Linked DNA regions of Drosophila melanogaster. The protein of the gene in region 1 purifies or fractionates together with the protein of each later gene. This does not show direct contact. Each region holds a gene or a part of one and is shown on either strand. Other genes may lie near its edges.

Region 1 (3,801 bases):
AGTGGGCACAAGGCAAAGGTGGCCGAGGCAAACAGTCGACAAAACAAAATCAGAGTCACCTTTCCCACCACCAAAGGATGAGGATGTGTGGCAAGGAGTGGACTTGCGATATAATCTTATAATGATGCTGGTCTCCGCCGGAGTTCCAGTTCTCTAGTCCCAAGTCCTGTATCCTGTATCTTGTGCATCCCCATTTCGAATTCCTGGCCTTATTTACACGTCCTCGCAGTTCATCGCCTGATGGGATGCTAGTGAAGTTGGATCCCGATTACGGGCGGACAAACACCTGGCCTCCTTCAAATCCATTCACCGCATTCTCCGCCAAAAGGACTCCCCAGATGCTTTGCCGGATTGATGGCAGTCCAACCATTGGGAATTGCGAAGAGATTCAAACAATTTTCGAGCAGAATGCTAGGCCACGCGACGGGTTCGGATTCGCAACCAGCTACACTGTGAGAAAAGAGCTGGCACATCTCTTGATTTATTTGACTGCCATACCACGGGAGTTCCGTTCGTTTGTTCTGAATTTTTGGCCAGTGCTCTCTAGTGGGCATGACCAACTTTACAACTTTCCCGCACATTCTATGCCCCCTAGGAAAAACGCCTGATGTTCCTGGCAGCCCAGAGTCGCAGAAGCAACAACATGATGCCAGAATTTCTAGGCAATCTTTGCATTCTGTGAATGCATTAACATTTATGTAAAGCCATGTGGCTATTTAACGGTTAATTTGCTCGAACTGAAATATATGGTATGGATGTCTATGGTGATTTAGTCTGCGATCCTTCGGGCAGTTCCTCATCCGCTTGCTGGGAATCCAACTGAACGCCACTGGTGCCCGGCTGTTGATCATCCACTGCATAGATTCGCTCATCGGTGACCTGCAGACTCAGCACGGAGATCGAGGTGACCATAGTGGAGTTGGGCTTAATGCCGTATTTGCCCAACCGCTCGCCTTTCTCGCTGGCAATCGTATCGGTTCTCAGGTAAACCGCTCCCTTTGCGGTGATCACGCATAAATCGATATTGGATCCGGAGCCCAGGTCGTTGAACACACCCGCCGAGATGGCCTCGCGGACCAGCTGCTTGCCCTGCTCCAGGTCGAGATCGGGCTTCCAGCCGTGCTCCAGCACCGACATGGCTGCCAAGGTGCCGGAGCCCATGGCCGCGTAGGGTATCTTATCGTTGGAACCGCACGGATAGATGCAGTACAGCTGCGGCCCAGTCGTGTCCACGCCGCCCATCACTAAGGCGGCACCAATGTGACCCTGGTAGCGAAAGAGGGTCCTGCGAAGCATCATGCTCGCACAGACTACCGGCACCCGTCGTTCGGTGTTCAGCCGGTGCAAATCCAGCTCGGCGCTGGTCGTCAGGGTAATCATTTCGGTGTCGGCAGCGGTGCCCGCGCCACAACAGCTGCGAATGGGTAATGCAGATATGTAGGGGTCCATTTTCAAAGGCGCATCAAGCGAATGCTGGGTACTCACTATATGTGATCCTGAAGGTGGTGAATTTTTGAGCAATTCTTGTCGGAAACAATGGGTCCCTCGGTGGCACGAGTGTCGGCGCCCAGGATAACGCCGTCCTTGTAGATGATGCCCACAATGGAGGTGCCTGTTTTGATCGCCTTCGGTGGCTCATATCCCTTGGACAAAAGCTCGGCATTTCTGTGGAGAAAATCTATTCGTTTTGGATATATTCATAATGATCAACATGTCTCTTACCGCCTGCAATTTATAAAGTTGAATCCGGACCGCAAGCCAACAAAATCAGCGGATGTATTCGCCTTTCGGGCGGAAAAAGGAAAGAGCATCGTGCGGATGTATGTAAATATATAATGTAGTGCGTTAGCTAGACAGTAAAATCAAAGATAACTTATCAATGGTTAAAAAAATAAACAAAGTTTAATATTTGCTTCTACGAATTATAGTCACAAGTTTTATGTTTTTCGCCTGCAAACACTGAGAGCCCATAAATAGTCTAAAAATTGCATATTCATGATGACAATTGATTTTTTCGCTTAATGAAGAGAAGGATTTTAAAACGAAATACTTTGGAATCGATTGGAAATGTGCTTGAGCGTAAAGAAATCGGAAATGTGCACTCGTTTGGAAGACCATCATAAAAAAGTGACCGGTGAAAAGTTATCGATGCAGCGGCAGCCATTTCCACCCATTTCCACCCAATGCCACCCATTTACCAACTGCACTTCAAATGCCAAACAATTTGACAAAGCTTAATTGGTTGCCTAGCCCACGAATCTGCATGTGAGTGCGATTGCCTGAGTGTGTGTGTGTGCGTGGGCGTGCGTGTGTGGTCGAAAGTTTGTCCATCTGACATGAGAATGTGTGTCCTTTCACACGCACACACACACACACAAACACACTCACGCGCACAAATATGAACTGACAGCTCTGCATATGTATTTGTATTTGTATTTGTATTTGTATTTGTATTTGTATTTGCACTTGCATTTGCATTCGTGTGGGTGCTCCATAATCCAAGGACACGGATACTCAAGCCGAGCGAGTGGAAATGGAAATGGGAATGGGAATGGGAATATGTCCTTGTAACTTGGTCAGTTTCAGATGGCCGACACCAGCACATGTGGCACAAATCAATTAGCATTAATTAGAATACAATTATATTTTAATCAACATTTGGCCAGCAAACTGCGACGATTGCAATGTTCACTTCAAGCTGTGATTTCACTTCACTTCAGTTGGGTTACCAAACCACCAAAAGGACTTCGCCATATTACGTTCATGTATATGTTATTCAATTAAAAAAAAAAAAAAGAGTTTACATACAGATAATACGAAGAGTGAGATATATGTATTAATTGAAATGTTTTTGAGAAAAATGCTGAATCAACAGGGATTCTTAAAGTGCCTACAATTAGAAGAGCTTTCATCCTTCGCTTTTTCAAGCCTCGAAAAACTTTTCCTCCGCAATTTAGGGCCGCAAAACTTTTGCAACAAATGCAAATGCAGCTAGAGTAATTTTCTTTTTTACCACTGCCATTCGCAATATTTTCGTCCGGGATTTTCCGTTTTTGGACAGCAGTTGGCTTTTCAATTAGGCGGCAGCACAAACACCTGACGGCGAAAATTCGGCGAGAATCGACATCCGATGGCAGGCCTAAAAATGGAAAACTAATCAAGACTTGGCATTCAATTTTGATTTCTGTTTTGTTAACAGCAATTGGAAAAGTTTGACGCCCGCACTTACCCTCAAAAAAAAAAAAAAAAAGAAATCGAACAGGTTGTTCTGCCCTCCATGGGAATCCCTTTTTTTTTTCTTTTCTTTTCTTTTTTTTTAGGGTTTCCCTTCATTTTATGTGGCCGTAACTTTGCCCAGGATAATTATGGTGAAATGCCGCCACTGACAAAAGGTTGCGTCCTTAGCTGATTGGAAGATTAAAATTTAATAAGATTATAAAGTCATTTGGGGCCCGTTTGGTGGATGTTTATTTGGGTTGCCGCAAATAACGCCATAAATAAATAAGATAGTCACTCGATGTCATCTGGTTATTGATTAAGTAACTGGTGTTTAAGTTATCGAATGGCTCTGAGAAGCTGACCTTTTGCTTAGATACTTAATAAGAACTATCCAGCAAACTGGATACATTTTTCCATTTCTCACTCTTTATAGTCAAAGTGCGGTTTTTTAATGGAAATTTTCGCCTAGCCTGCTGCCAATATTTAGCATGCTAATGACTTTCAGTTAGCTGAGAACTCACACACACAAACACAAAGGGAGCGATGCCAATTTCAAAAACGACGCCATGATGAGTCCTTTGA
Region 2 (3,233 bases), on another chromosome or scaffold:
ATCGTTAGTCTTGTAGCCAGCTTGCTGGCAAAGACAATTTGCGAGCCAGCATTGCTGAAGTTAAGCGATATCGCCAACTTCACGGACAATGGCCAACACTATCCGCTGTTCCTGCTCGTGCTGCAGCAACTGGTCAAGGTCATCGGCAAGGATGCGCTGGAAGAGAAATTCCGGGCGAGCAAAGTTGATCTTATGAACAGCCTGCCGGAGGCGGATCGGAACAAGGAGCGCTTGGCCGGGATACTCGAGGATCGCAAGCTTTCTTTCCTTTATCCGCTATTGAAGGTACAGGCCGAGATGCTAAAACAGCTGCAAAGCGACCCGAACCCCAACAACTTCTACAAGTGGATCAAGGCCAACGTTGACAACAAATACTACAAGGACCCGGGCTTTATCCAAGCCCTAATGACCGTGGTGGTCAAGTATGTGACCAAGGAGACGACGCTGGCGGACAACCTCGACCCCAAGGAGCACCCTGAGAAATCGGTGACCCAGAAGGAGCAACAGCTGCTGGAGAACTACAGCCAGATGCTGCAGACCTTCCTGGGACAGAACGAGCTTCAGTTGATGGCTCTCTATGCTCTGCAAACGTTCTGCTACAATGAAAATTTCCCCAAGGGTAAGTGCTCAACATTTTAAATCTAATCTGTTTTATCGGCAACTTATATTTGCTTTTTTCTTCGTTAGGCATGCTGTGCCGTTGGTTCAAGTATCTTTACGAATCTGAAATTATAGAGGAGGAGGCATTCGTCCTGTGGAAGGAGGAGATTTCCGACAAATATCCAGGCAAAGGATCCGCTTTGTTCCAAGTGAACGCCTGGTTGACTTGGCTGCAGGAGGCCGAATCTGAGGACGATGAGGATTAGAAAGCAACGCAGTCCCGCATAATAACAGCGCTATATGTTTATCACTTCCAATATTTATTCACAAATCGATAATGATTACATGATGAAAAACAACAAAACTAACAAAACACGAAAAATAAGAAACAAAATACCATCAGGGTGGAAGTTTGAAATCGCGGTTGCAAAACTTAGTCAAATTATAGTAAAAAAGAAAAACAAAACAAAAAAAATTAATCAAAATTATTTGATATCCAACAAATTCAAAGAACATTAACAATCAATTATCAATAAATAAAGCGCAATAGACGTCAAATATAACCGATATTTATCCATACATCATAATTCTCATTGACATTTCAAGCATAACGAATAATTAGTGAATTTCATCTTTTTTTTTTAACATAACAACCGGAACTGATCTTTAAATCGAATAACGTTGATTTCAATTGCCTTTTTTTGGTACTCTCGACGATTTCCCTTTTGTGTATTTAAATAAGTAGGTCAAATCAAAGCGACAACATTAACATTATAGAAAAGGAAAAACCAATCGACGCGCGCCGAAGAGAGCAAAACAAAATCTGAATGTAATTGTGAACAAAATATCGTATATATGTATTTAACTCAACCAACGTAAACATTAAAAAACTCGCCCACATTAAATAGAGCCTTAATAAATGCAACCAACACTGCGAACGGCGAAATCAAACTGACTTTCATTGGCTTTTGAGGGAGTAATGCAAATTTAAAATCCGCGCCTAAGCTCTGTAATAGCTGCCTATCGATACAATTTTCGATTATTTTGAAAAGCTATCTATGGTCGTTTCGTTATCTGGCAACACCGCTCCGGTCAAACTTGCTATTTCATTGTTTTCCTTGTGAATATTGCTTGTTTATGTATAAAATTCACGACTAATGGATAGCGTTCCTGCGAATGTTGTGCCTGCGAAGGAGTCTGGTGGTTTCACCTCACATTGCGTCCACTTGGCGGCGGGTCCCTCGCAATTCACCGTGCGCGCCCTGAAAATGCAAGGCAGCACCATGCTGATCATAAACCCCAAGGGATTGGAGGTTTTCGAGGAGCTAGCGGTGGCCATGCCCTCTCGCAATCCCGCCAGCAGCCAGTCCCTATCCTCCACAATCCTGGGCGGACACGGGCAGACCGACTCATCTGTTCTGGCCGCCAAATTGAGTAAACGCTACTGCCGCCAGTTCTACGTGAGCCTTAATCTCAAACTGGATCGATTAATGGGCCCTCTGTTCGAGAAGACGCTAGTCACCTACATGCAAGACCATCTGGAGCACTTCGCTTGAGTGGGTACAACAACTTAGTGTGGCATAAATTTAATCCTCAATCGCTGACTTATTTCTGGTTCACGTGCACACAGGGCCCGCCTGCGCTACCGATGACACGGCGCCGCGTGGGGGTCAACGTCTATTTCGGGGACCGGCGGCTACCCCACGGACGCAGCTTCACGTACTCTACGCACTCCATCAGCTAACTATCTGGGATCTCCGATTCCCGATCTCCGCTCAGACGTCATGCGGCGGCCGAGTGAGCACGAACTTTAAACGTGTATCGGTGATACGAATTTTGTACAATAAATTTATTGCCCTAAGTAAGTTTACAGACGCATGTGGGCTTTATCAATTGTGTCGCGATAGCAGTGCTCAATGTAAGAAGAAGTCACCCGCTGTGTGAGTGATCGCGTGCCACCCGCATGCTATTCATGCTGCTGCTTCACCACCCAATGATTTGAAGGTCAGTTTGGCTGCAGTGATGATCGCTTGATAGGTGATTTCCCCGCCATCGTATTAAATTCGAATATACATATGTGTGTGTTCGCATTGCGCCGGTTTGTTCATCAGGCCTCCGTTTCGGTTTCCCTTTCGAATGAATGTTTAGGTTTAGGGAGAAGTTAATATGTAATAATCATTCGGAAGTTTTCCAAATGGGTACCATTTCAGTTTGATCACTGAATACCTCTGACAAATAATATCATTAGATTTGTTTTTATGTTGTTAATTTGAACTATTCGAAAAGTTAGTAGGATACCACTATCAAATGTATGTATTAACTAGCGGGTTTACAATTCACAATGTGATTAACAAGCTTCTAAATTTGTGTGAATAATACTGGTTGAAAATATTATATCTCTTGTTACAGTTCGTTTAGCTTTTGAAAAAATGATATTGGTGATGACTGACTATAGGAACTCTCAACTTTACTAATTACCCACGAGCAAAAAGTTGATGTCACTTCCTGCATGAGTTCCCAATTATAATGATTGCGATATCCAAAATATCCAAGTCACTATTCACTATTTCAGAATGGTTCTATGTCACAGAAAGTCTGCAACTTGAACAGTTTGATACTCAGGTATAGATAGT

Evidence for each region.
Region 2: the proteins of Prosbeta2R1 (region 1) and CG13319 purify together in Drosophila melanogaster (affinity purification with mass spectrometry, with the first as the bait; one large-scale study listed by BioGRID). This does not show direct contact.

Annotation. Positions count from the first base shown.
Region 1 is NC_004354.4:5,807,016-5,810,816, reverse strand, and holds Prosbeta2R1 (proteasome beta2 subunit-related 1), read right to left. Parts: upstream 1,864-3,801; 5' UTR 1,812-1,863; coding exon 1,723-1,811; intron 1,666-1,722; coding exon 1,486-1,665; intron 1,415-1,485; coding exon 760-1,414; 3' UTR 659-759; downstream 1-658.
Region 2 is NT_033778.4:12,922,192-12,925,424, forward strand, and holds CG13319 (uncharacterized protein), read left to right. Parts: upstream 1-1,712; 5' UTR 1,713-1,757; coding exon 1,758-2,156; 3' UTR 2,157-2,160; intron 2,161-2,230; 3' UTR 2,231-2,473; downstream 2,474-3,233. Other genes in the region: NAT1, read left to right, coding at 1-619, 688-866.